Linked DNA regions of Stegostoma tigrinum. The protein of the gene in region 3 purifies or fractionates together with the protein of the main gene of each other region. This does not show direct contact. Links are inferred from orthologs where the notes say so. Each region holds a gene or a part of one and is shown on either strand. Other genes may lie near its edges. The genes, in order: surf6, ube3a, esr2a and serine/arginine-rich splicing factor 2-like.

The links.
Region 1: the proteins of esr2a (region 3) and surf6 purify together in Homo sapiens (affinity purification with mass spectrometry; 3 studies listed by BioGRID and IntAct, with this or other methods). This does not show direct contact. The link is inferred for Stegostoma tigrinum from reciprocal best matches to the Homo sapiens genes ESR2 and SURF6.
Region 2: the proteins of esr2a (region 3) and ube3a purify together in Homo sapiens (affinity purification with western blotting; 4 studies listed by BioGRID). This does not show direct contact. The link is inferred for Stegostoma tigrinum from reciprocal best matches to the Homo sapiens genes ESR2 and UBE3A.
Region 4: the proteins of esr2a (region 3) and serine/arginine-rich splicing factor 2-like purify together in Homo sapiens (affinity purification with mass spectrometry; 3 studies listed by BioGRID and IntAct, with this or other methods). This does not show direct contact. The link is inferred for Stegostoma tigrinum from reciprocal best matches to the Homo sapiens genes ESR2 and SRSF2.

Annotation. Positions count from the first base shown.
Region 1 is NC_081364.1:19,300,358-19,307,463, reverse strand, and holds the start of surf6 (surfeit locus protein 6), read right to left. Parts: upstream 3,102-7,106; 5' UTR 2,884-3,101; coding exon 2,784-2,883; intron 933-2,783; coding exon 768-932; intron 1-767. UniProt on the Homo sapiens protein: Binds to both DNA and RNA in vitro, with a stronger binding capacity for RNA. May represent a nucleolar constitutive protein involved in ribosomal biosynthesis or assembly.
Region 2 is NC_081359.1:94,324,304-94,331,778, reverse strand, and holds the start of ube3a (ubiquitin-protein ligase E3A), read left to right. Parts: upstream 1-4,365; 5' UTR 4,366-4,761; coding exon 4,762-4,814; intron 4,815-7,330; exon of another isoform or gene 7,331-7,444; intron 7,445-7,475. UniProt on the Homo sapiens protein: E3 ubiquitin-protein ligase which accepts ubiquitin from an E2 ubiquitin-conjugating enzyme in the form of a thioester and transfers it to its substrates.
Region 3 is NC_081363.1:3,531,895-3,539,418, forward strand, and holds the start of esr2a (estrogen receptor 2a), read right to left. Parts: upstream 3,031-7,524; 5' UTR 2,920-3,030; coding exon 2,837-2,919; intron 1-2,836.
Region 4 is NC_081375.1:31,151,513-31,159,344, forward strand, and holds the start of serine/arginine-rich splicing factor 2-like, read right to left. Parts: upstream 3,140-7,832; 5' UTR 2,958-3,139; coding exon 2,605-2,957; intron 785-2,604; coding exon 496-784; 3' UTR 474-495; intron 1-473. Other genes in the region: UNC93-like protein MFSD11, read left to right, coding at 3,804-3,899.

The DNA.
Region 1 (7,106 bases), on a different chromosome or scaffold from region 3:
GAATCACAGAAGGTTAGATGATATTACAGTCACAGAGGCATACAGCACAGAAACAGGCTCCTCAGTCCATACCAATCACATTCCCCCAAACTAAACTAGTCCCGGCTGTCTGTGCTTGGCTGATGCTGAGACGCCTGCACTGCAGTGGTAATATCCCTATCCCTGGGCCAGCAGGTCAGGATTCAAATTCTACCTGCACCAGACAGATGTTGTAATAACATCTGAACAGGACGATTAAAAAATATCTATTACAGATGTTAGGAGGGGGTAGACGAGAGGCCTTTGAAAACAAGGATAAGAATTTTAACATCAGAGCCTATTTATCTGGGAGCCAAAGTGGATCAGTTAGGAGGTACAAAAATAGAAGTTGCTGGAAAAGCTCAGCAGGTCTGACAGCATCTGTGAAGAAAAAAAAAACAGAGTTTCGAATCTGGTGATTATTCCTCAGAACAGATAGTAGCTGGGAAAACATCAGTTTACATGCAGAAAACAGAGGAGGTGGTGGGGGGCAGAGAACAAGAGGTGTTTGGTGAACAAGGCTCACTGTGAATCAAGACACAGGCAGCAGATTTTGGATGACCTCCAGTTTATGGAAGGTAAAATGTAAGAGACCGGCCAAGAGTGCATTGAAATAATCAAATCTGAAGGTAATGATAATAATGAAGGTAGAAGCATTTAATCTAAGTAACTAAATTGTGAAAGATTAAATTCACTACCCCAGTGGAGAATAGGATAACAGCACTCATAGCAAAATATAGTTCTCAAACCTCTGGTATTTTTCTTGATTTTGTCCATTTTCACTCCACCTTGAACAGTTTTAGGCTGACCCCCACTCATTGGTTGAACATTTTTCAACTCCTTAGGAGCTTCCTTTCTTCTTTTCTTCTTCTTTTTAGGTTGGGTCATACCTTCTGAGATCTCGTTCTTCGAAACTAAAAAAAAACCACAAACAAAACCACATATAATCTAAACAAGACTCAAAATTTCATTTAATTCACATTTAATAATTAACAGCATCACTTGAAAATTTCTCCAAGTTAATCTCCACACTGTAACATTATAATTATCTGCATGATTTCTAAGAAAGAAACCACCCACTTACCAGTATTCAAAACAAAAGATACTGTTGTTTCAGTGAGCCACTGCATCTGGGCCTCAACACAATATACTAACCTTAATTTATTCTCTCCAGCTTTGTGTTTGCAGTATTTTCATTTTCGTAAAAATTCCAAGTGATGATGACATATCATTTGGAGAAGCACACCAGATGGTTTTATTCCCTTGCATCTGCTGCCAATTTCCATCCAGGCACCGGACTATGGGTTTGGAAAATGCTGTAGGAACTCTGTAGATGCCATTTCCACCTCCCTTTGCCTTCATCTATTGCTGAAAATATGTTACTGCCATTGACACTTCCAGATTCCACAATTCCAAAAGGTTAGCCTGCAATCCACCAAACTCTAATCCTCACTTCTGCCATGTTTTTATAATGCCAATTTACTTTTAGTTTCTGCAATAGTAAAATGTAAATGTTTAAAAAAACTGTGGATGCGGGATAAGAATTAACTGCTGCATATGGTCAAACAGCATCAATGAAAGAAAAATATTCAACTTTTAGAATCAATGACCTCTTTGTTTCTCCTTCTCCAGATGATACATTGTATGGTTTAATTCATTTTTTAAATGCCATGGAACATGTTCCTTACTTCTGTCACACCAACCACCCCCTCTACTGTTCAGCGAAGTACAATGACACTCACTCAGCATCCTCATCTGTTAAATTGTATCCAGAATATCTGCTGCAGTGGCTAATTCTTTCACACGCTCTGTTGCCTCAACATTCCTGAAAGATCAATTTTTGCTTGGATCCTTTTACTCATCTGTGTAGCGTACCTTGACAGCATTGTGCAGAAATTGGATGTATTTCATATGCAAGGTAACAACGTCCCATGACATCTCTTCACCTCCCATATTGTTAAAATGCTTATCTAACATTCAGTCTTGGATTAACTACAGTTTATTCCACATAAATATTGGAGAGACAGTAACCAACTTTTCAATTTGTTTCACAAACATGCTCAAACTTTTCCAATTATTCCATCTGTTTCTCCACCACAGACTGAAAAAACACATTCTTAGCCTCATCATCCTACACAACAGAGTGGAGATTCTAACTCCACACACCTTCAGTGATACAAAAAAAATCACCTATTTCCACTTCTTCTTGCTCCAGTTCATCTATTACTGAAATCCTATTCATGACATTGTCACCTCCTGATTCTACAATTCCAATAGGTTTACTTCCACTCCATACAAAATGTCAGTTTACTCTTGACCTTGAAGGCCTACAATGGATGCATTAAAGGGCTCAAAGGCAATCTGCACGTTCTCATCCTCCTACAAAGCAACGTTCTGGCTTTTTCCTATCTCTGTTGAAGGAGAACGTATGAAGACACATGAGTAAAAGCTTGGTCAAGAATGCCGGTTTCAAAAGCACTTTAAAAGGATGTGACACAGAATGTGAGAAAATGATATTTCGGGGGATGATTTCAAGGCTTGGGGAGTACAAAAGTTGAAGTATGTCTCCGCACGGTGCGGGGTCGCAATTCTCGGAGATGGGTAAAGCTGGAGGAATTCAGTTAGAAGTTTCCATAATAGCATTTTCTTGTACAATGTATGACTTTTTGAATAGTACTACCAGGACTGCTTTCGTTCCTCGTCATTCATTAAATCACGAAAGCCAGGAAATCCCTTCATATTACGATGAGTAACGCGTTCCTTACCCAGCTTTCGTTTACGAGGTTCCTGGTTCTGGGATGCGCACACTTTGCTTCCCAAAATCTGAAAATACTTGTCTTTGGCGGCGAGGCTGGGATCAGCCATTCCTTGATCCAAGTTTGTTTCCTAATAAAAGGGGGAGAACTCAAACACCACGGAAGTAAAGGACGGAACCGGTGGAAAACTAAGCGTTAGGTGGACAGCAAATTAAAACAAAAGTGACTAGTTCTGATCGAAAGGTATTGAAGAACAAGGTGATGAACACTAAACTCAATCCCACTTCAAACACGCTACCAAGTGCATCTCCTACGTCATCATTCTGCGGCCGGCTTCACGCCCTGGCGCAGTGATGCGTCACACATAGAACCCCGTCCTAGCGGTTGAGGTGAGGTATTGCAGGATGTCAAGGACGAGGGTTGTTGAAGGGGCTTGGATCTCCTCAAACTTCTTCATTCGCTTCACTCCACGACTGATGCCCACTGTGCCCTCTGAGATAACAAAGTGTGGAGCTGGATGAGCACAGCAGGCCAAGCAGCATCTTAGGAGCACAAAAGCTGATGTTTTTGGCCTAGACCCTTCATCAGAAAAGGGGGATTGGGAGAGGATTCTGAAATAAATAGGGAGAGAGGGGGAGGCAGACTGAAGATGGATAGAGGAGAAGATAGGTGGAGAAGACAGTATAGGTGGGGAGGCAGGGAGGGGATAGGTCAATCCGGGGAGGATGGACAGGTCAAGGGGGCGGGATGAGGTTGGTAGGTAGGAAATGGAGGTGCGGCTTGGGGTGGGTGGAAGGGATAGGTGAGAGGAAGAACAAGTTAGGGAGGCGGGGACGAGCTGGGCTGGTTTTGGGATGCAGTGGGGGGAGGGGAGATTTTGAAGCTGGTGAAATCCACATTGATACCATTGGGCTGCAGGGTTCCCAAGCGGAATATGAGTTGCTGTTCCTGCAACCATCAGGTGGCATCATTGTGGCACTGCAAGAGGCCCAGGATGGACGTGTCACCTAAGGAATGGGAGAGGGAGTTGAAATGGTTCGCAACTGGGAGGTGCAGTTGTTTATTGTGAACCGAGCTTTGGTGTTCTGCAAAGTGGTCCCCAAGCCTCCGTTTGGTTTCCCCAATGTAGATGAAGCCACACTGTGTACAGTGGATGCAGTATGCCACGTTGGCAGATGTGCAGGTGAGCATCTGCTTGATGTGGAAAGTCATCTTGGGGCCTGGGATGGGGGTGTGGGAGGAGGTGTGGGAAGTGTGGGAGACGTGGTCGAGGGCGTTCTTGACCACTGCTGGGAGGAAGTTGCAGTCCTTGAACATCCCTGCAATAACCGCCAAAAGACAATCCCCCTCGTTCTCACATACCACCCCACCAACCTCCGGATACAATGCATCATCCTCCGACACTTCCGCCATCTACAATCCGACCCCACCACTAAAGACATTTTTCCATCCCCATCTCTGCCTTCCGGAGAGACCACTCTCTCCGGGACTCCCTTGTCCGGTCCACACTCCCCTCCTACGCCGCCACATCTGGCACTTACCGCTGCAACCGCAGGAAGTGCTACACCTGCCCCCACACCACCTCCCTCACCCCCATCCCAGGCCCCAAGATGACGTTCCATATTAAGCAGATGTTCACCTGCACATCTGCCAATGTGGTATACTGCGTCTGCTGTACCTGTTGTGGCTTCCTCTACATCGGGGAAACCAAACGGGGGCTTGGGGACCGCTTTGCAGAACACCTACGCTCAGCTCACAATAAACAACTGCACCTCTCAGTCGCGAACCATTTCAACTCCCCCACCCATTCCTTCGACGACATGTCCATCCTGGACCTCCTGCAGTGCCACAATGATGCCACCCGAAGAAACAGCAACTCATATTCCGCTTGGGAACACTGCAGCCCAATGGTATCAATGCGGATTTCACAAGCTTCAAAATCTCCCCTTCCCCCACTGCATCCCAAAACCAGCCCAGCTCGTCCCCGCCTCCCTAACCTGTTCTTCCTCTCACCTATCCCCACCTCAAGCCACACCTCCATTTCCTACCTACTAACCCCATCCCGCCCTCTTGACCTGTCCGTCCTCCCCGGACTGACCCATCCCCTCCCTACTTCCCCACCTATACGCTCCTCTCCACCTATCTTCTCCTCTATGCATCTTCGATCTGCCTCCCCCTCTCTCCCTATTTATTTCAGAACCCTCTCCCCATCCCCTTTTCTGATGAAGGGTCTAGGCCTGAAATGTCAGCTTTTGTGCTCCTAAGATGCTGCTTGGCCTGCTGTGTTCATCCAGCCCCATACTTTGTTATCTCAGATTCTCCAGCATCTGCAGGTCCCATTATCTCCCACTGTGCCCTCTGATTAGTAGCATTGGCAAGCATGCCGCGTATTAGCAGCAGCAAGTTTAAAAAAAAAGTAAACCAAAAAACTGCTGAAAATCTGAAACCAAAACCAGAAATTTACTGGAGAAATTCGATGGGTCTGGCAGCATCTTTTTGAGGCGTACCACAGTCTGTGTTTTAGGTGCAGTGACCCTTCTTCAAAAGTTAAAAACTATGATTGATTTTAATTTGTGTCGTCTGTTAAAAATGAGGCTTTATGAGGTTGTAGTGATTAGGGAATATTGAAAAGACTGGAAACTATTTTCTCGATACAAGAAAAAGTTGAAGAACGTATGCAATTGAATAGGCCGATTTTCTCCTCAGCCAACGGAGACCATGGCCAATTTAGCAACATAGCTTGATATACCCATTTATGTTTCATATTCTCTAACTCCTCTGATTAGCTACAATCTATCAATCTAAGGTTTTAATTTACAGGTAGTTGATCCAGCACTAATTGCTGTTCACAGAATAGTGTTCAAGCTTTAAAGAAAAAAATTTACATTTATGTGTTTTGTTGACAACAGAATGACTCAATTTTTTTTGCAACCAATTAAAACCTTTTTCCTGTGTAGCCACTTTAGTACTGTAGAAAACCTTTCTTTGTAACTTACCCTGAAAGATCTAGATCTAATTTTAAATAATGCTGCTTAATCATAGATTTCCAAATGAACAGATATTGTTTCAGCCTGTATGGTTATCTGTTCCCCTTCATATTTTAGAAACTTTGAGTGGATCACTCCTTAAATAATACCGTATTTTGTGTAATCTCACCTTCAACTGTCCCACACTGCACTTCCTCTAGTGCTAGAAAACATATCTTCCTAAGGTGTGTCCCAGAACTGCTCATAATACTCCACATCTGATCTAGCCAGGGCTTTATTTGTCCAGACCTTGACTTGTACTCCTCTTCTACTCCTCTCGATATAGAACATTACAGCACAGTACAGGCCCTTTGGCCCTCGATGTTGTGCCGACCTGTCATACCAATCTGAAGCCCATCTAACCTACACTATTCCACGTACGTCCATATGCTTGTCCAATGATGACTTAAATGTACTTAAAGTTGCCGAATCTGCTACCGTTGCAGTCAAAGCGTTCCATTCCCTTACTACTCTCTGAGAAAAGAAACTACCTCTGACATCTGTCCTATATCTTTCACCCCTCAATTTAAAGCTATGACCCCTCGTGCTCGCCGTCACCATCCTAGGATATAAAGGCCAGCATTCCATCAGCCTTTTTCATTATTTTCTGCACCTGTTCATTTCAGTTAAAACTTGCAGTCTACCTCCAGAACACGGAAAAGTGAAGGGTTTAAGCCTGAAACATCAGCCTTCCTGCTCCGACGATGCTGCTTGGCCTGCTGTGTTCATCCAGCTCTACACCTTGTTATCTCTGCAAAACAATTAATACTGTTTCTGCACTGTTGATTGATGCAGTCAGTGCTATATTATCCTGTGTTAATTCAAAATTTAGTCAGTATAATAAAGACTTTTTTAAAAGAAAGGGCCCATTGAAAACCCCCAAACCCATACAAAATTAGCCAATATTTCAGTAGGTCAGAAAAAGAGGTCAGGTGACACAAGAGATTTTAGAGAAACTGACATGAATGGAGCAAATTAGCTCAAAACATATTTTTGAGTGTTTTCAACATTTAGATGTAATAGTATTTTCTGATTTAATTTTTTTAATTTCAAAAATATACCTTATTCATTTAAAAAATCACAAATGGAGTTTGATTCTGTACAGCAGCTTATCAAGGAAACAAACATTAGATTTTGAGTTTAACAGAACGAACTAGAAGACTACATTGACGTGCATTTGATGCACCGGAGGGTCTGAAGACTGAACAGACCCCCATTTAACGCGATAATTTCTTTGAAAATAAAAAAAACTGCATTGTTTCAAGGCTATCAAAGCACTTTGAGAGCATTGCTATCTGAACCAAAA
Region 2 (7,475 bases), on a different chromosome or scaffold from region 3:
AGAAACATGATCAACTCCACTCATCACTATGTTAAAATTCAAATTCTAAAATTATATTAACTTACAGATACCTTTCATCACAAAGATGCTTCTGATCAAATATACCGTTGTTATAACACAAGTGCTCGACGACCCTCGTGCCTCTGTGCAGATTCTTGATTTTGAACTCTCAGCTTGTCCCCATGTTAGTTCTCTATTGTAACAGGACTTAGCAAATGGATCTTAAGAGGCCTGGATGCTTCCCACCAGTTGGGGGGCTGGCGGTGTGGGAGTAAGGCACAATTCACTTCAGGCACGGGGAGAGGATGGACAGAAGGTGAAACGACGTAAGTGGAGTCACATCTTTGAATCACTCCAGCCCCTCACCAGACTAAGCCTCAGTCGTAACAACCTCCACCCCCTCCCTACACCTCATGTCCCCAACAACTACCTTTCACATCAGGCTTCCCCTGATCCATCTTGTCCCACGCAGATCCCTTTAGTGCACTCCCATTTGGCTGCTTCAGGATTCTTACATGCCTTCTGGATTCCTTCTCTCAAGGGACTCCCTTGACCTCTTCTCTCCCACACACCGACACAATTCAATGTGACCCAATCCCTCAACTTTCAAAAGCATTACTTCTGCGAGCACTTGATTTTGTGAATATCAAAATACTGGTATTCAAGTTAAAATTAAAAACATCAAAAATGGAATGAGGAGTCAGAAACAATTTCAAATGAAAAGTCACAGAACCTTTAAAGCACAGACAAAATATCTTTTAGCCTGTCCCATCTGTTCTGGTCATCAAGCATCTTTCTAATCTGAAACGAAAGTAGAAAGTGCTGGAGAAATTCAGCAGGATTGGCAGCATAAGTGGAGACAGAAACAGAGTTAATGTTTTGATTCCAGTATGATTCTTCAGAACTAGTTCTTAGTTCTGAAGAAGAACCACATCAGACCTGAAATCTTGGCCCTGTTATTTTCTCTTCACAGATTAGATTAGATTCGATTCCCTACAGTGCAGAAACAGGCCCTTCAGCCCAACAAGTCCACACTGCCCTTTGGAGCATCCCACCCAAAACAATCCCCCTATAACCTACAGATCCCTGAAAACTACGGGCAATTTAGCATGGCCAGTCCACCTAGCCCGCACATCTTTGGACTGTGGGAGGAAGCTGGAGCATCCGGAGGAAACCCATGCAGACACAGGGAGAATGTGCAAACTCTGCACAGACAGTTACCCAAGGCTGGAATCGAACCCGGGTCCCCAGTGCTGTGAGGCTGCAGTGCTAACCACTGAGCCACCGTGCAGCCCCATGATGTAGAAGACCTGCTGAATTTTTCTAGCAATTTCTGCTTTTGTTTCTGATTTGGGTTATTTTTTGTTGAGTGAGGAAATCAGCAGGCCTGGTATTATCCGTGGGCAAGTGTGTGCAGGAGGGCTTCCTGACATAGTATGTAGATAGGCCAACAAGGGGCGAAGCCATATTAGATTTGGTACTGGGTAATGAGCCTGGTCAGGTGTTAGATTTGGAAGTAGGTGAGCACTTTGGTGATAACGATCACAATTCTGTTATGTTTACTTTAGTGATGGAAAGGGACAGGTGTATACCACTGGGCAAGAGTTATAGCTGGGGGAAAGGCAATTACGATGAGATTAGGCAAGATTTAGGGAGCATAGGATGGGAAAGGAAATTGCAGGGGATGGGCACATTAGAAATGTGGAGCTTATTTCAAGGAAAAGCTCCTGTGTGTCCAAGATAAATATGTACCTGTCAGGCAGGGAGGAAGCTGTAGAGTGCGGGAACCGTGGTTTACGAAGGAGGTGGAATCTCTGGTCAAGAGGAAGAAGAAGGCTTATGTTAGGATGAGATGTGAAGGCTCAGTTAGGGCACTTGAGGGCTACGAGATAGCCAGGAAAGACCTAAAGAGAGACCTCAGAAGAGCCAGGAGGAGACATGAGAAGTTGTTGGCAGATAGGATCAGGGTAAACCTGAAGGCTTTCTATAGGTATTTAAGGAATAAAAGAATGACGCAAGTAAGATTAGGCCCAGTCAAGGATAGTAGTGGTAAGTTGTGTGTGGAGTCAGATGAGATAGGGGAAGCGCTAAATGAATATTTTTCAACAGTATTCACTCTAGAAAACGACAATGTTGTCGAGGAGAATACTGAGATACAGGCTACTAGACTAGGTGGGATTGAGGTTCACAAGGAAGAGGTATTAGAAATCCTTCAGAGAGTGAAGATAGATAAGTCCCCTGGGATGGATGGGATTTATCCTCGGATCCTCTGGGAAGCCAGGGAGGAGATTGCCGAGCCTTTGGCATTGATCTTTAACTCGTCATTGTCTACATGAATAGTGCCAGATGACTGGAGGATAGCAAATGTGGTTCCCCTGTTCAAGAAGGGGAGTAGAGACAACCCTGGTAATTATAGACCAGTGAGCCTTACCTCAGTTGTTGATAAAGTGTGAGAAAAGGTTATAAGGGATAGGATTTATAATCATCTAGAAAAGAATAAATTGATTAGGGATAGTCAGCACGGTTTTGTGAAGGGAAGGTCGTGCCTCACAAACCTTATTGAGTTCTTTGAGAAGGTGACCAAACAGGTAGATGAGAGTAAACCGGTTGATGTGGTGTATATGGATTTCAGCAAGGCGTTCGATATGGTTCCCCACAATAGGCTATTGTACAAAATGCGGAGGAATGGAATTGTGGGAGATATAGCAGGTTGGATCAGAAATTGGCTTGCTGAAAGAAGACAGAGGGTGATAATTGATGGGAAATGTTCATCCTGGAGACCAGTTACTAGTAGTGTACCGCAAGGGTCGGTGTTGGGTTCACTGCTGTTTGTCATTTTTATAAATGACCTGGATGAGGGGGTAGAAGGATGGGTTAGCAAATTTGCAGACGACACTAAGGTCGGTGGAGTTGTGGATAGTAACGAAGGATGCTGTAGGTTGCAGAGAGGCATAGATAAGCTGCAGAGCTGGGCTGAGAGGTGGCAAATGGAGTTTAATGCAGACAAGTGTGAGGTGATGCGCTTTGGTAGGAGTAACCAGAAGGCAAAGTACAGGGCTAATGGTAACATTCTTAGTAGTGTAGATGAGCAGAGAGATCTCGGTGTCCACGTACACAGATCCTTGAAAGTTCCCACCCAGGTTGAAAGGGCGGTTAAGAAGGCATACAGTGTTTTAGCTTTTATTAATAGAGGGATCGAGTTCCGGAACCAAGAGGTTATGGTGAAGCTGTACAAAACTCTGGTGCGGCCGCACTTGTTGTATAGTGTACAGTTCTGGTCACCGCATTACAAGAAGGATGTGGAAGCTTTGGAAAGGGTGCAGAGGAGATTTACTAGTATGTTGCCTGGTATGGAGGGAAGGTCTTACGAGGAAAGGCTGAGGGACTTGAGGCTGTTTTCATTGGAGAGAAGAAGGTTGAGAGGTGACTTAATTGAAACATATAAAATAATCAGAGGGTTAGATAGGGTGGGTAGGGAGAGCCTTTTTCCTAGGATGGTGACAGCGAGCATGAGGGGACATAGCTTTAAATTGAGGGGTGAAAGATATAGGACAGATGTCAGAGGTAGTTTCTTTACTCAGAGAGTAGTAAGGGAATGGAACGCTTTGCCTGCAACAGTAGTAGATTCGCCAACTTTAGGTACATTTAAGTCATCATTGGATAAGCATATGGACGTACATGGAATAGTGTAGGTTAGATGGGCTTGAGATCGGTATGACAGGTCGGCACAACATTGAGGGCCGGAGGGCCTGTACTGTGCTGTAATGTTCTATGTTCTATGTTCTAAGGGTCGCCTGAAATGTTAACTCTACTTTCCCGTCACAGATGCTGCCAGACCTGCTGCGTTTGTGCATTTCTGCATGTGTTCCTGCAGAGTTTAACCTTTGATGATGACTATCTCTGAAAACTTACTCCTAGGCTGTTGGTTGGTTAGCTCAGTTGCTGGACAGCTGGTTTATAGGGTAGGGGAAGTCCTATACAGCCTGGGTTCAAGTCCTGCTGCTAGCTGAAGCTCCCATGAAGAACCCTCTTGCCTGAGGCATGAGAAGACCTTCATGTTAAGGTCTTTTTCTCTCTACGGCGGCTGCACCTTAATGACACAAAGTTGTGGCACAACTGGGGCTTTAACTAAGTGTGAAGCTGGATGAACACAGCAGGCCAAGGAACATGCTGCTTGGCCTGCTGTGTTCATCCAGCTTCACACTTTATTATCTTGGATTCTCCAGCATCTGCAGTTCCCATTATCTCTGGGGCTTTAACTATTTGAGTTGTGGGGAGGTGCTGCTCCTTTAAGAGACCGGATGAGCGAGGGGGCGGGGCGAAGAGGAATGGCAGTTGCCATGCGCGGCGCAGCGCAGTCTGGGAAAGCGCCAGCGGGTGAGTCGCCCTCACACCAAGATGGCGGACCGGGGAGGCCAGGAGGAGCGGAGGCTGCAGGAGCAGCAGCGACAAGAGCGAGGTCCGGGCCAACGGTGGTGTTAGAACAGCTGGGCACCGACACGACACGATAGGGGAGCGAACAGAATTCGTTGCCGCGCTTTTCTGCAGGGTAAAATCTGCCGGCGGGAAGCGGAGACTGGGAGTGAGCCGGACGCTCAGCCGCCGCCACCAGAGGAGAAGGCGACTCGTTTGCGAGGCCGGGGAGGGAAACATATAACCACACATACGCGTCCCTCCCACCTTGGAGGCCTGTCCGCACGCCGGCCCTTGGGACAGGAGCGGAAAAAGAAAAGCCCAGGCTGGAAGGCAACCCGCTTTCGTATGAATTCCGCCGAGGCCAGCTCGGAGTGTGCGCCACCAGCGGCGAACGCAAGGTCGGTGTTAGTTTAAAGCCAACGCACCATCCCCTTCTCCCCACCACTCCGACCCACAACCCTACCCCCACCCTGGTGACCAGGACTCAGGGCCTAGCCTTTTATCTCTGTTTCGCTTTCCTTAATACCAATACGTTTTGTCTGATTAGTTAGCTTCACGTTTTGTATGTCCTTTCGGCCAAATAGTGATTTTTTTTTAAAAAAATACGAATTTATTGGTTTTGATTTTTGTTTTGGTTAGGAACTTGTTTGTTTCCTTCCTAATCTCTCGAATTTAGTTTTCCCTTACCGCCCCCCCAAAGAAAGTTAACCTGTGTCATATCAGATCCTGGGTTCCTGCTCGGTTTCCTGCTGAAGGTGAGGCCCCCGAAAGTTGATTGGTTGCCCTTTGGCGGGTTGGCGAAAAGGGTTTGTTTTTGCTTTGATGGAAAAACAGTATTGAAAATGCTACTACGAATGTCACTATCCGTGCAGAGAAAACACAAGTTAATGATCCTTCATCGCAACTCGTGTAGATCTTGGACCTAATTGGTTAATGCTGTCTCCCACTTCAGATGCTGCCTGTCCTGTGGAGTATTTTCAGTGGTTTTTGTTCACCTTTCAAATTGTACTAGATGCTGAAAAATGTCTATTACATAGATATTCCAAGTTAGGCATTGTGAATGTGGTCAAATTCAACTTAAATTGAAAAAAATTAATGCATAGTGTACTTTTTTCCAGCAATAACATGCTGTTGCAGCTAAATTGGTTGTTGCAACTTACTGGAGGCTCTGCTATGTTTAATTGGAAATGAAAGTGAGCTATGCAGCAAGAGAATATGACACCCTGAGGTCAAGATATTCTGATTGAAAGGGGGGTGTTTGAGGTTGAAGTCCTTTGCAGTAATTTTCTAAAAATACTGGAGAAACTCAGCAAGTCTGGCAACATCTGTGGAGATGGAACAGTTAATGCTGTATACAGTTTGAGCCAATTATAACTGTCTTTCAGAACCTGAAGAATCATGTTGAAATTAAAATGTTATCTCTGTTTCTCTGTTCACAGATGCTGGTAAATCTGAGTTTCTCCGGCATATCTTGTTTATCTTTCATGTCTCCAGCATCCACAGTATTTTGCTTTTATTGAAGTTGTTTGCATATTGCTGACAAGTAGTGCATAGGGCCAGATTTAAAGGAGAGAGTTGATTGTATAAATTATGAACTATTAAGTTGTAATGATTTGACAAGATTGTAGTTTGTAAAGCCTATCATAATGAAATCTGATCTTTTAATGGGCTTTATAAATAGGTACTAAACAAAAGCAAACATTTTTATTGGTTCTGGTGTCCCTGGAATTAAGCTTGCTACACCATTTCAGAGGCATTTGAGTCAGTTATGTTGCTGTGGGTCTGAAGTTACGTTGGGCAGACAAGGTAAGGACAGCAGATTTCCTAAAAGAGATTAGTGAACCAGATGGGATTTTAACAACAAATGAGTCTGGTTATATGATTACCACTAGACTAGCTTCTAACTTCATATTTTTAGATTTAAATGTCAACCTGTACCAGATGTAATTTGAACCCATGTTCCCAGAACATTTAAAATCTAGGGATTCTGGATTACTATTATGTTTACATTATCACTGTGCAACCATTTCCCCAGAAGCTAAATTTGCCAAACCAACAAACAAAATTTCACTACTTATTATCATATGGTGGGAAAGGGTATTTGGGGATAGTGTGGTAGAACTGACTGGATTTCTCAGAATTGGCACAGATTCAGTGGCTTGAATCATCTCTTGTGATGACTGTTGTAATTTCAACTGGAAACGTTGATAAATTGTGTTGTTTACTTATTGCAAGTAGCTCAAGGTAACATATCTGTTAGCAGGCTTCTATTCTGTAAATTGGTTTATTTCTTTGGAATCATGTTTTGCTTACAGTGACTGCAGCAGTGTAAAGTATGAGTGACGTCTTTCCTGTTATCCAGTCAGTTCTACCAAGTTCTTGGACTTGTACAATTCTCCCTATCCAGGGGCATCAGTTGTTGTCCTCCGTCTTGTGATGAAGTGGAATTGCGGCCTGAACAGCGCACGAGTATCTGAACATCATCTTGAATATTGCATTGCCCCAGATAGCTTCAGGATTTAGTAAATCAATAATTTTAATAAAACTTGATTGAGAGCAGTGCTGTGCCAGTTGGGTTTTAATGATCATATGTAAATATTAACTTGTACTATCACTTGCTCAGTGAAAAATCTTTCTTTTGTTTTACATATAACAACATATAATACAAATGGAGTGATTATCTTCACAAAATGTAGATATTTCAGATTTGGGTTTGGTGCAAAGTGTAGAAAAATATAATCCGCAACAGGGATTTCTACCCAGATATGAAGTTTCTTTCTGTTGAAACATTGGTTGATCAAGTGGTATTATCTAACTAATTTATTGCAAGAGATTAGATTTATTTCTGAATTGGCCATAATGGTCATTCTGCTTGCCTTCAAAATAACTTTGCTATGAATTGTTCTGTATTTAGGTCGTAAACACAGTAGAGTTGCTACAGTTAGTTGGACTAGGGAGTTCTGATCACATACGTTTGCACAGACAAGACCAGAATACCTCAGATCGGCTCTCCAGATGGTGAAGTTATGTAAGTGTATCTCTTCCTTGGCTTAGCATCC
Region 3 (7,524 bases):
ATTAAGGAAAGCATCAAACTGAAGGAAAAGGCACATGACTGTTCAAAGTTAAGTGGCAAGTCGGATAATTAGTCTGAGTATAAAGAAAGCAGAATATGATTGAAATATTAATCCAGAGTAAAAGTAAATTAGACTATGAGACAAAGCTAGCTCGGAGTGTTTAAAAGTGGAAGAGAGTATTTAAAATGGAAAAGATTAAATACCTCTAGAGTAGGAGAATTGGTATTTAATAGCAGACAGTAAGGAAATAGTGGACGAAATGAACAGATAGTTTCCGCTGTAGAGGATGAAAGCCATCTCAGTAACAGCAGTAAATCAGGAGTGAGGAGCTCAGTGAGATTACAATCACTGGGGAAGTGGGACTGAGCGAAATGAAGAAGCTGGCATCTGACAAGTCTCTGGATCCAGATGCCTCAATCGTAGGGTCTTAAAAGAGATGGTCCAACAGGTAAGCGATGCATTGCTGTTAATTCTAAAATTCTATCTACGTCTCAATCTGAAAAATCAGTCCAACCCTCTGGTGCAGTACTGAGGGACTGCTTCACTCTCAGAGGTGCTCTGTTCTACAAGACATTGAACTGAGGTCCAAGCCGATTCTGGTCGATGCAAAATATTCCACAGTCACAATTTAAGAAGCAAAGGGGAGCTCTCTCCAGTGTCCTGACCAATGTTTCATTTCAAAAACACTGAGACCATCTCTCTATGTTTTTGAAGCAGATATTCTGATTATTATCACAGGACATATTATGGGGGCTCACTGCGTGCAAATTGCTTGACCAATGTTTTCAACAGTGACCACACTTTAAAAAGATACCACCTGCGAAATACTTGAGGACATCTTGAGGATGAGAAGGATGATATTGAAATGCAATTCCTACCTCTGTCCTACTGACACTTAAGCAGATCAGTTGAGAACAGGCCCCTATTGTGAATACAACAGCAGGAGAGATGGCCAGAGAGGAGAATAGGGCAGGGGGGCACGTTCACTGTCCGTGGTATATCGTAGACAGAGAAAAGAAAGTGTGAGAGTTTTCTCTAAAGCAAAGATTCCAACCTGAGTGAAGCTTTTTGCTTGAACATGGGCTGTGGCTGGATTTGTAACAATATTTTAACCGGTGACTGAGTGTGGAATGCTCTAACAGCACTGGAAGGATGCAGGGTTAACGGAGACTCAGCAATCTGTTGCAATAAGCTACGTCTCTCTCAAAAACTAAGTAATACCACCACCTGGAGGAATAAGGGAACACACTCACACTCACACTACAGACACACACACACACACACACACACACACACACACACACACACACACACACACACGCTACAGACACACCCACACACACACACACACACACAGACACATACACAGACAGATGCGCGCACACACACACTACAGAGACACACATAGACAGACACACTCACTCTCACACACACATTCACACACACCATTTCCAAGGCTTCCAGATGATATTTACAAAGCCAACACCAGGTTCTCAATCAGTGAGCACTGAACCAAAGCCACCTTCACACAGGGATAATGTTTACAGTTTGTTCACTGAGACTGGCTTTCATGTGCCTCACCTGGACAGGTGATTACACACAGGCACTGACCAGGCTGTCTCAGGATGTAGAACCCTTCAGGCACATTTGTAGGGGTGGTCTGGCTGGGGATGCAGATGATCAGTGTTGGTGCCGGAAGTACATTTTCCAATAAACGTGATCCCAACTTATGTGCGGTCCCAGTTCCCCCAGCAGCCTGGGGGCAATGCCCAGTGTTGGGGGGGGGGGAATGGGGTGGCTCAGGCATTTGTGACCTGCTGACTTTTACCCCTAGGCTACTGCTAAGGCCCTAAACTGGGGCAAATTGGGGAATTATTACACTCCAGTCCATGATCAATTTCAATCCCAACTCTGAATAAGGGAGACGGGGGGGGGGGGGGGAGTGAGAGGGGGGGAAAAGGAGAGAGGGCGAGAAAGAGTGGAGAGGGGAGTGAGAGAGAGGGGAGGAGTGGGTGGTGACAGAGACGTGAAGCAGAGGTAGAGCGAGAGAGATGAATGAATGAGTGAGAGAGAGAAAGAGGCGGAGAATGAGTGAGTAAATGAGAGAGGAGGGGGGGTGTGGACGGGAGGCAAGTGTGAGGATCCCATTCTGCTGTGATGCCTGATGTGGCCAAATAGCTAGTCAGCACTCACAGTGGAGCCTGGGAGAGTGCGCTCTCTGGCAATAGCCCCTGGCTGCCCTCTCAGGGGTGCAGTGAGACCTGGCACCACATCAAAGTCCGGATTCGGAGGGGACCGAAACCCTCTGAGTGTGAACACGAGTGTCCAGCTCAGTCCCTGAATGAAACACAACACAGCTGGGAATTTCTGAGTAAGCCCCCGTGCCCCCTGTCACTGGGCAGTACCTTCTCTCTCCCGCCCCCACACCCCAGGATGCTGGGGGTCCGGGGCAGCACATGAAGTCTGAAATTCACGGAGGGATCTGAAGTCGCCCGCGAGAGGACGTGGGCGTTTAAAAGAAAACATTTCCCCGGACAGGATATTTTAACAGGATTGCTGCGTTTCAGAAAAAAAAATCACAGCTCAATGAAAAACAAGTGTCGGGAGTTAGTTGTAAAGAGAGAGAGAGAGAGAGAGAGGTGAGAGTGGGGAAAGAGACAGGAGCGAGGAGAATGTGAAATAGGATGGGGTAGGAGGGAAGAGTTGGGGGAGAAGGGAGGGAAGAGTTGGGGGAGAAGGGAGGGAGGGATAGACAGGGGATAAAAGGGAGACCCAAGGAGAGAGGGTACCCAGAGAGAGAGTGTGTACACAGGGCAGGCTGCTCTCAGATGCTCACCGTCTCTTCAGCAGCTCCTCCCGGTCCATGGTCCTGCTGAAAGTTGTGTCAAACTCAGGTACCTCGCTGTTGGCCTCCAGCATCCACAGTCTCCAGCTGCTGCCTCCCTCCCCGCCTCTGCGTCTCTGTGCAGCCCCAGCTCAAAGCTGCTCCCTGGAGCTGGGGAGGGAATAGGGAGGCTGAGGAATGCAGCTGCGCTGTCTCTCTCTCACACACACACACACAGAGCTATTGGTGGGAAGCGCTGCTCAGCTGCCAGTGTTCTCACTCCCACTTACTGCCCTGGGAAGGCAGCGCCATCTGCAGTTGTCAGTCAGCACCATTCCAACACCCCCTCCCTCCAACTCCTCCTGCAAATCCCCTCCTCCCTCTGACTCTCACCAAAGTACATGGACACAGTGGGGAGATGGGAGGGTGTTCTGCTATTCCACCAGCGGGTCTAGGCCAGACATTCTTATGTCTTCACATCTATTTCAACTACTGAACCGTCAATGTCCTCTTTTTTTTATAAATCCATGGCCAACCAGCCCCATCATTCCCCGTACCTGCATCCCGTGGTTATAGCAATGCAGAGTTTAGAACTAGCAGGAGTGAGAAAGACTGAGCAGCATGCCAACTATACCAATTTGGGTGGCTCAGGGGTTATCGCTGCTGTCTCACAGTGCCAGGGACCCAGGTTTGATTCCACCCTTGAGCAACTGTTGGTGTGGAGTTTGCACAATTCCCCCCCACCCCATGTCTGAGATAATAGGAACTGCAGACGCTGGAGAATCCGAGGTAACAAGGTGCGGAGCTGGATGAACACAGCAGGCCAAGCAGCATCTTAGGATCCTGCTGTGTTCATTCAGCTGCACCCGCCGTGTCTGCATGGGTTTCCTCTGGGTGCTCCGGTTTCCCCCCACAGTCCAAGATGTGCAGGTTAGGGTGGATTGACCGTGCTGAATGCAGGGTTGCCAAAGGGTGGGGATGTAACTCTGGGTGGAATGCTCTACAGAGGGTAAGTGTGGACTCGATGTGCTGAATGGCCTGATTCCACAATGTTTGGATTCTAGGAACTAGCTTCAGAGCAGGCTAGCAACTCGTGAGGATCGACATGCAGATGCTGTAAGGATGAGGAGATGGGAAAAGTTTTTTTTCAGCCAGTGAGTAGTTAGGATATGGAATGCACTGCCTGATAATCAGAGATTGCAGTGATGATGTTGCCTCGTAGGGTAAGAAAATGTTTGCACACCATGGAACAACCAGATCAGCAAAGAAATGAACAATTGAAATAACAACCCGAGCTACATTTCACTAAGACTTTAAAAATACACCGCCTGGAAATGTAGTGGAGGCAGGATCATTGAGAGGGTTTGGGTAAGAATGGTGTCCCAGGGATTATGGGAGAAAGCAGGAGATTGGCAGAAGGGAATAGGACCAACACAAGAATGGTGGGTCGAACAGCCTCATTTAGCATGGTCATTGTTCTCTGAGAGCTGTGAGGTGTGAGACAGAAGAGATGGGGGTGGTGAGGTGTGAGACGTAGACTTTAATTGCTGGGCTATAAGGAGTTGTTGATGACTTGGGGGTCTGGGGTTGACTATGAGAGCGACCGGACGGAAGGAGACAATTGGATTATAAAGCACACAGACTCATCAATGGAGGGTTCGAGAAAACACAGAAGTTGTGCTGAGCATTCATGAAGCTGAAATAAAACAAAGAACTGGAGCTCACCACAATCTTCTCAAGGGGCAATTAAGGACAGGCAATTAGTACTGACCCAGCCCTCCCACAGATGTATATTAAAAAATAATCTGAAACAGAAACTGCTGGAAAAATTCCTAAAATCCTGACAGTGTGGAAGCAGGCCATTTGGTCCATCCAGTCACCACTATCCTTCTGAAGAGCATCCTAACAAGACCCACACCATCCCTGTAACTCTGCACTTCCCAAGGCAAACCCACCTAGCCTGCACATGCCTGGAATCTATGGGACAGTTTTGCATGGCCAATCCACCCTACCCTGCACATCTTTGGACTGTGGGAGGAAACCAGAGCACCCGGAGGAAACCCACGCAGACACAGGGAGAATGTGCAAACTCCGCACAGACAGTCACCCGAGGCTGGAATCGAACCTGGGTCCCTGGTGCTGAGAGGCTGCAGTGCTAACCGCTGCCCTAACTCAGCAGGTCTGGCAGCACCTGCGGAGAGGAAGCAGAGTAAACATTTCAGGTGTAGTGACCCTTCTTCATACCTGATGGTAGCTAGGAAAAGGTGGTATTTATGCTGAAGACAGGGGTTGGGAGGGGGATAAAGGGGTAGGGGAGGTAAAGGAGTGTGCAGTAGGTGAAGATGGACCCATTGGGAGTGAGTTTGCAGACAAATCAGTGGGTAATAGTAAGTCAGGGAGACAGAATAAGTCTGATAATAAGAGCCATTAGTGGGTGAAAATGGTTAGCTGTGTGGAAATCAGCCAGAATCATGGCAGAGGCTGAAGAAAGGATGTAGAAAGGAGGTTCCCAGGCCCAAACATTATTGTTCTCAATATTGAGCCCTAAAACCTGTGGGGTCCTCAAGCAGAAAACAAAATGATGCTCTTTCAGACATATATACCATCCCTACCCAGCTACAGTCAGTTCAATTGTAAGGTAACTAGAATCGATGTATTATCTCTGTCTCTCTCTCCCTCTCTGTCCACAGATGGTGCCAGACCTGCTGTGTTTCTCCAGTCATTTTTGTTCTTGCCCCGTAAAGCTGCAGTTAGGCCACAACCAGGGCCTTGAGCCCAGTCAAGGCACCACACTACGCGAAGGGAGCAGGATCCTTCGGGACAGTGTAGGGAAGCAAGTTTGGTTCCAGGGATCGGAGAAGTTTAACTCCAGATTTGTTCTGGAGAAACTGATGTTCCCGTTGGGAGAGAGAGAATTGGAGGGAGATCTGATCGAAGGATTAGTTTGGGATTGATACAGGGCTACAGGGAGTGAGCGGGCAGTGGGATTAGTTTGGTGACTGATGGGCCAGAGGAAGAGAATGGGGCAGAGGGGTTAATTTGGATAATGATTCAGGGCCATAGTGAGAGTGATGCCTAAGCACAGTGGCCAAGACAGTGCAGCACTCCCTCAGTAAATACCGATATTGCATTTCTGCTAAGTCTCTAGACCTGGGACGACCCCACAACCTTCTGCATCCAGGATGGGAACAACAGCCACTGGGCTATGTGGAAATGTCCTAGACATTGTCAAGGGGCTGAGTGGCCTCCAGCTCGTGTGGAATGGTAAAAGCAGGCTCTCAGGATGAAAGGAGCTGTGCTGTTGTCCTCAGATGCTCTCTATCTGAACCAATCTTCAAACTCCAATCCTTCTGAAAGGAGTCACTGCATCAACCAGCAATCTCACAGATTGATTTGTTACCGCTAGATGTGAACATTTTTCCAAAACGTTCACATATTGGTCCTGCTGTTCCTGATCTAATCTCAATTCCCAAATTAATTTCAAGTCTTAAAATTGACTTCAAAGCATCTCACTAATCTGCCTTTAATTATAAAAATGAATCTAGATTCTTTCCAGATTGTTATCTGCACAGAGTCGTTAAACTGCAGGCTGGTTGGGATAATATACTAACTTGTTTTCTTTCTGACTGACTCTGAGTCTGACAGAGGGTCCCTACAAAACACTCCTTCATCAAATCCTGATAACTGATGGCTTCAAATGATGATTGCTGGACATACTAAGCCAAGAAGCTAAATATTGTCATTGGCCTCTTGAAACATCTCCTGTAAATCCCAGCCAAAAGAGCAGAACAGTTTCCATCTGACAGAGGCAGAGACCCCAGTTAAAACTAAATCTCTGATCCAAACTCATAACAAGATAAGAAGGGGAGTCTGCAACAAGGGAACATAACCTTAATCTCAAAAGCAGGCTAGCTGAGACGGTAGTCAGGGAATATTATTGGAAAGACAGAGACTTGCATGAGCGTTGCAGAAAAGAAAAGGCGCATTTTTGCATAGAAAAAACTTTCCATCTTGTACCATTCAGGACAATTTGCAAGAATACCAAAGTGAAGGGAAACTGACATTTATACTGCAAGAGGGGAGTTGTGAGGATGGCAAGTGGCCCAGATTGGGAAAGAAAAATAGAATATAAGGCACAGATTTTGGAAATCAGGAATAAAAATAAAGTGCTACTAAAAATCAGTAGCGTCTGTGGAGAGAATGCAGAGTTAACATAGAGTCCAATCTGATTCTTCTTCAGAGCTTCTTCAGGCTGCTAAAGATGTTGCCTTACACAATGCACCTGTGATATGATGACTGACTGTTAACTGTTACATTGTGTGCATGGAATCAGCCTGTAGGAAACATCGAGTATATTTAAGACAGAGATAGATGGGTTCTTGATTGTCAAGGGGATCAGGAGTTATGGGGAGAAAGCAGGAGAATGGAGTTGAGAAATATATCAGCCACGATTGAATGGCAGAGCAGACTTGATGGGCTGAATGGCCTAATTTCTGGTCCTGTGTCTTATGGTCTTATGGCCCTTTGTATTAATGTGTGGAGCTTCCAATTTGTTCCTATGTATCATACTGTGAGCCTGACTGACCATCATTAAGTGACTGCCTGCGCAGCTTTTTTGCTCACTCAGGAATATCTGGCAAATATCGCCCAATCACAGAATCGTTCGAGATTAGAAGGATGGAAGAGTATCTCATAGAGTT
Region 4 (7,832 bases), on a different chromosome or scaffold from region 3:
TCACAATGGCTCATGGTCAATACAAAGCACTGCAGATTTTCAATCAAAAATGTCACATTTAAGAGGAAATTACAGAACTTTCATTCCTTGATGCTGATCAAACTAAATTCATTAATTCACAAATTATGCAAGTACACAGGATTACTCCGTCTGCAGTACTATTTACTAACTGTCCGTGTGGAATTGGCATTAAGGAATTAATGTTTCAGCTGCACAAACAGAGGTACGTACATGCTGGTAAACTAACATACTATGGTTTCAACAACAAAACGGTAGTCGGAAAATTATCTCCCATGACTAATAATGGAAATTCAATGGAGTCAGCATCAAGACTTCCCCTTTCAGAATTTCTCAATAACCAAAAGCAACTTTAATAGTTTAGTCATTCATTCACCCGTAAAGCTGTAAATATGCATTATTACTTTCGAGAATGATTCAAAAAATAATGCTATTACTTTCGTGTATTTACTCACTTTGGTGCAATTTACCACTTTTTTATGGTGATCCAATTCCATCTTTCTGTGGAGATCTTGAATATATGGGGGTTTTCGACCGGGATTTTGACTTGGATCCTCGAGACATTTGCGATCCACTCCTAGATCTTGATACAGACCGAGACCTTGACTTTGATTTAGATTTTGACTTCGATCTTGATCTTTCAACAGACCTCGATTTTGAACGAGATCTGGATCGAGAATAGGTGCGAGACCTGGACCTGCTGTAGCGGGATCTTGACCTAGTTCGACTTCTGGACCTTGTACGGGACCGACGTCGTCTTCTCGGACTGAGAAAGGAAAGTTTTAGTAAGATTAATAAGTGGAAAATAATAAAAAGTACAAAATCTCTGACAAAACCATTGTTTGCCAATTTTCACAGCCCTCTACACCCAAAGCTGTATGCATTTGAGCTTCATAGGTAATATCATCTCTCAATGCCTCCCTTCAAGTGCAAGTTTTAATCTGTGTATGTGACAATGATAGGAAATGTAACCAAGGGGCAAAGAAGATGATAATCCTTTCACTATCTGAAATCCCCCCTAGAGATGTTTCTTTCCAAGAGGCACTGTTACCTATCCATAAGTACTCTCTCCCTCTTGAGCTCATTAAACACAACATAATACAGTTTTCCACTTCACTGGGTTTATATTAAAAACAATAAGCCCATGCACATTGGGAAATTAAGACAACTATTAAATCTTTAAATAAAAAACATAAGAACTGCAGACACCGTAAATCAGGATTAAAAACAGAAGTTGCTGGAGAAGCTCAGCAGGTCTGGCAGAATCTGTGAAGAACAAAATCAGAGTTAACGTTCTGGGTCCAGGTTGAGCTTTTCCAGCAACATGTGCTTTTCTATGAAATCTCTAAACTATTTTAGCCATGCAATTCTCCCATGTGTCAATTTAATTATTGAATGCCACTTTGTCTGTAATTCGCAGCTGCCAAAAAGCAGAATGGTTAGCATCAGCTCTCTCCAAATGCAGAGTATGGCACCCACAGACAATCAGTTGTCCTCACATTACTAAAAGCTGACACAGCCAAAAAGTCAACCAAGCCCCCACTAGAGGTTTACATGGTTTGAAATACCATGTTATGAGAAACAGTTGTTCTTTAGAACACAGAAATACATGGAACTCAATAAACTAGATCAGGGTCAAAACTCAAGAAATACTTCAGAAACTAAGTCTATAAAATTCATTCCAAACGGAATTCACAATGGGGTGCAATAGATTCTTTTTAGGAACATGCTTCATTTCTGTAGAACGTCCATTATATACGTTTACTACTGATCTCCGTTTTCCTTTGAATGTTGCGAGATCAAAAAAAATGGTATCACTTATCTGTTATAACTGTTCCCCTGCCTAAATATTTGCTCAACCACGAATAAATGAAATAAACGCGTCTTTAACCAAGTACTCCAGTTCACAGTATCTCAGGAGTGATAACTGTACGACACAAAACCCTTTGCGCCCAGGCTCAGTAAAGCACATCCTTATCTCAAGAAGAGCAACAAAAGAGTCAGTTTTTAATAACTGTCTAGAGCCTGTGAAAACAGCCTCCCTCGGCGCGGTATCTATTAGCTGGCAGTATAGGAGATTAAAAAAAAATACTGTCAAAAGGAAAATGTGTATCTACTCGGGATGAAAGAAGCGAAACTTGTTGCTTAAAACTCTAACCGGGCTTTTGATTTGAAGTTAAACCAAAATTGTTGCCTTTTCGAGGCAGGTTTATACGGCGAGGACCAGCCGAACTTGAACAAGTTGAAATCGATACCTACCATCACAACTGAAGCAAGTTCCCGAAATTCTGAGGGAGGGTCACCGGACCCGAAGCGTTAGCTTTGATGTTTTTTCCCCCTTCTTCACAGATGCTACCAGACCTGCTGAGCATTTCCAGCAACTTCTGTTTTTGTTCCCGAGAATTCTTGACCAGCCCCAAGAAATGGCGACTCCCACAAGTTCATAAAGGAATGGGTGACAAGAGGGGTGGAGGGCGCTGAGCTTGATCGTGCCTTACTCGATCCGCCACACAAAACTTTTAGGGGAAGAGAACCAATGAAGCACGGCGATGCCGCCACCCTCCCCTCCCTTTCTCGCCCACCAACCTGCGGCTTCTCCTGCCGTAGGCGCCACCGTAACGTCGGGACGAGCCTCCTCGGCGGTGTGACTCGGCCGGGCGGCCATAGCGCGCCATTTGCACCCTCAGTTCCCGGCCATCCAGCATCGCGCCGTCCATGGCGTCGATGGCATCCTCGGCGTCCCTCTTGTCGTGAAAGCGGACGAAGGCGAAGCCGCGGCTCTCCCGGGTGAAGCGGTCTCGGGGGATATAAACGTCGCCCACTTTGCCGTACTTCTCGAACACGCGCTTCAGCGTCTCGGGCGACGTGCGGTAAGTTAGGTTGTCCACCTTCAGCGAAGTCATCCCTTCGATATCGGGGGGCATTCGTCCGTAACTCATCGCTACAAATCAACCTAGCTTCCGAACAGCAGTAAGTTAGAAGGAGACTGTGATAGAGCCGGCTCTGTATAGAAAACCGCCAGAAAACCAGCGCCTGGCCCAACGACAATCACAAGATGGCGCCTGCGTCACCCGGAAACACACCCAAACCGCCAGGGGGAGGATGTCCCAAAAACGCACATTTCAACTTCAAATAAAACTTTTTTTCGCTGCACTCTATGTTTTAAGGCCAACATAATAATTTCCGTATATTTTGTTCCGTCACTGACTCAGGAATTAAATCACCGCAACCGCGGCGCCCCCTGGGAACTGTAGTTTACTTGCCTCCTGCTCTTCATTCGGTTCATATTCATCGCTGCCAACGACATTCAACATTGCGTTCGTTGTCAAGCAGGAAATCGTCAGTCGGGGCGTTATCCGCTTTGGAACATCAAGTTCAATCAACTTGAGAGGAAAAAAAATTCAAAGACTAACGTTAATTTCCGATTGCGGCGCACGCGCTTGGTGTTTCCGGTATTGTGGCGGTTGATGTGATTTCTGAGTGGGGAGTAGTTGAAGAAGACTGACTGAGTGAGGGAGTGAGTGTTTGATGAGGGGAGTGAGCAAGGCAGGAAGAAGGAGAGGGAAGGGGAAGGACGAAATGAGTGAGCGAGGAGCAGTTGAAGAAGGCTGAGCGAGTGACGATGAAAAGAGAGTGAGAATCAGCCGTTTTTCCAAACAAAATTCTCATTGCAACCGAAAGCCTGGAATTTGAAAGAATATCATTTTGAAGTTCGCCAGTCAAAACTAAAACTTATTACCGAGCCCACAAAACAGTGCACCAAGCAAATACCTAGATGTTTAACAATGACACCAGAAGGAACAAAACTCATGAATGTCATAATTTTGGGATGCGGCTTTCTGTTAGTTTTCAGTGCCTTTCAAACTGGCGGCAACATAGAAGTGAGTGCTTAGTTCTTGAACCTGAATTCATGCGATTTCCATCATTTCCTTTAATGTTGGAAGGAATTAGTAACTTTTATTGTTTTCTTTGGAAGCTTTTTGAAACTTTCAATATAAATTTAATGTCTAACTGCCCTGAAAATCTGTAAAGGAAGTGGGTGTTTATTGATGAGTTTATCTATGAAACTGCTGATGTAGGTTTTGGATTGATAAGATGGTTTAAGTGCAGTTTAATTTGAAGTTTTCACGAGATATATTTTCATACATTAAACCTATTGCATTTTTCAGGCTGAAGAAGGAAATGTAAAATTGTGATGCAATTTTTTTCTTTTAAAATGAAGCTTTCAAATGTATATGTGAGTGTATACAATGTGGAATAGGATCTTATCAAAGCTCTAGCTTTTCTTTGTTTTGGACTTTGTTAAGTAACAATAGATTGCTGCGCTTATCAGTTCTGAGTCTTTTTGCTGGTGTCTAAAATCCACATATTAGCGGGTTCTGGCAGATTTCATTAGGTCACGATCAAAAACGAAACCAAAGCTAATCTTAGATAATAAAATGTGAGGCTGGATGAACACAGCAGGCCCAGCAGCATCTCAGGAGCACAAAAGCTGACGTTTCGGGCCTAGACCCTTCATCAGAGAAGGGGATGGGGTGAGGGTTTTGGAATAAATAGGGAGAGAGGGGGAGACGGACCAAAGATGGAGAGGAGAGTATAGGTAGGGAGGGGTTAGGTCAGTCCAGGGAAGACGGACAGGTCAAGGAGGTGGGATGAGGTTAGTAGGTAGGAGATGGAGGTGCGGCTTGGGGTGGGAGGAAGGGATGGGTGAGAGGAAGAACAGGTTAGGGAGGCAGAGACAGGCTGGGCTGGTTTTGGGATGCAGTGGGCGGAGGGGAAGAGCTGGGCTGGTTGTGTGGTGCAGTGGGGGGAGGGGATGAACTGGGCTGGTTTTGGGATGCGGTGGGGGAAGGGGAGATTTTGAAGCTGGTTAAGTCCACATTGATACCATTGGGCTGCAGGGTTCCCAGGCGGAATATGAGTTGCTGTTCCTGCAACCTTCGGGTGGCATCATTGTGGCACTGCAGGAGGCCCATGATGGACATGTCATCTAAAGAATGGGAGGGGGAGTGGAAATGGTTTGCGACTGGGAGGTGCATTTGTTTATTGTGAACCGAGTGGAGGTGTTCTGCAAAGCGGTCCCAAAACCAGCCCAGTTCGTCCCCTCCCCCCACTGCACCACACAACCAGCCCAGCTCTTCCCCTCCACCCACTGCATCCCAAAACCAGTCCAACCTGTCTCTGCCTCCCGAACCTGTTCTTCCTCTCACCCATCCCTTCCTCCCACCCCAAGCCGCACCTCCATCTCCTACCTACTAACCTCATCCCACCTCCTTGACCTGTCCGTCTTCCCTGGACTGACCTATCCCCTCCCTACCTCCCCACCTATACTCTCCTCTCCACCTATCTTCTTTTCTCTCCATCTTCGGTCTGCCTCCCTCTCTCTCCCTATTTATTCCAGAGCCCTCACCCCATCCCTCTCTCTGATGAAGGGTCTAGTCCCGAAACGTCAGCTTTTGTGCTCCTGAGATGCTGCTGGGCCTGCTGTGTTCATCCAGCCTCACATTTTATTATCTTGGATTCTCCAGCATCTGCAGTTCCCATTATCACCAAAGCTAAACTTCCTTCTCTTGCTGCAGAAATGTTGTTTTAGACACTTTGAAGCTGTGTGTGTGAGCAGTGCATAGTTTGAAAAACATTTTAACAAGTTAGGAGAGTTGATAGTCTAATGTATTATAGCCAGACTATTAACCAGGAGACCCATGTAATGCTCAAGCAACCTAAAGTTGAATGCTGCCGTGATGTTTCAATTGAATTTTTAAAGATCTGGAGTTAAAAGTCTCATGATGAACGTGAAACCATTACTGATTGCCGGGAAAAGTCCATTTGGTTTATTAATTCCTTTTAGGGAAATAAACTGCTGTCCTTACCTGGCTTGGCTAAACGTGACTCCAGATCCACAGAAATGTGCTTGACTGCTCAATGGGCAATTAATGCTGGCCTGGCTCTCACCCCATGAATTAATAAAATTAAAGTTAACCATTTAAGATAGTTGCATACCAAGTATGTGCAGATCACTTACCTCTTCTGCTTTTCTAAAAAGAATGGTGTCTAATCACTAACAGTAGCAGTCGACACACTCAGTCACTTCTCACCTTGGCATGCCATGCTTGATCCCCACTAAAAATTATCACTTTGTCCCATCCTGGTTATGCTCCCTACTAATGTTGCTACATTTGCTTTAATGTGTAAAAAGCCTTCTAATATATATAGGGATTGGTTTAATCTCATATGATGGTTTTTTGTATATGAATAGTTTGTAGACTTGTCATATAGCTAGAAATAAAATGGATGAAGTTATTCATTTTAGGATTGTTCAAGGTATGGATGCCTTTTAACAGCCAGAAGGTTTGTTGTCAGGGAGAGTTTGTGAGCGGGGAATAGTTAATGATGTATCAGTGGCGTTCAGAATGATAGGGAAGCCTTTATCATAGGCAAACGTGACAATATTGTGGATATGTTAGATACCTGAAGTATAGTATCATTTTAAGGGATGGCTGTGTGCAACTCACACTCAAAAGATTTTGAACCTTTTTAATTGTAATTCCTAGCAATTTAAATGAATACTATTGACAAAGGTTACACTCCCTACCCAGATCAAAAGTTGATAATATTATTTATTTCTTGGTATAACTTGCTTTTAAGCTTCATGCGTCAAGATTCAATTAAACGTTGAAGATTATTTGCAACGAAAAGTTGGTGTTAAGTTTGAGAATCTCACAAGTGCAAACTTGAAAGTACTGTAAATGGTAGAAAACTGATTTTGCCACTGTGCAGTGGCTTTCAGTACACATTGATTTTTAAACTTCTTATCCATATTTTCAACTTCATCCATAACCATGCCTTTCCTTATTTTTGTGACCTCCTCCACCCCTGTTCCTCTAACTCTTGTCTTTTTTGCATCCTCCACCCCATTCACACCAATGTTAGTAGCTGAGCATTCAGCTGTATAGACATCAAATTCTGGAATTCAAGCTTTCTGTATCATTGATTCTTTTAAAGATGTTTATTAAAACCTTTCTGTTTAAACAAGATTTTAATCATTAATATGTCCTTTTTTTAGCTGGGTGTCAGTTTTTATCTAATTATTTACTTGTAAAATGCCTTGGAATCTTTTACTACTTTTAAATATTCCATGTACTTTCAAGTTGCTGTACCAGTGATTATTGTCAAATTTGAACCAAATGATCAGTTTTGTCTCTGTTACTGAAAAACAAAGGTTCAACAATATAAAGTTTGTTGGAAGGGATAGAATTCTCAATAAACAGACACTAGATCATACAGCTGTGTTAGTTTTCGTAATGTTGTTGGCAACATGAGTAATAGGTATGATGTGATATGCTTATAAATGTGTATGTGTGTTTTGAGGAATTAGCATGAAATAAACTTGATAGCCCTAATTCAAGTTCGTAGGATAAAACTTGTCAAGTTTGGTCGTCAGCAAAGCTGTTTGAGAAACGGAAATCTGGTACGAGTGTCTGTCATGTTAGGAATGTCTCTTGTATGTGTTTCATTCTGTGCCAAAAATGAAGAATTTATTGTTTGAATCCAGTCATACACTGGATTTGGAAGTATTTTCAATCTAGAACTTTTGAATTTCTTGACTGGATTAAAGATGAAATTTGATTGACAGCTTTAACTGCAGAGACTGAATTTACATGTCCGTAGGTATAGATCAGATTCTGCCATTAAGTGAGATTATTCATGTACGTGCATGGGGGCAATTCTGTTTATTAACTGGATCTTTGTGAATGGTCATGGAAAGGCTTGGTGATTACAATGCTCTTGATGTGGCCTATGTGCACTTCCAGAAA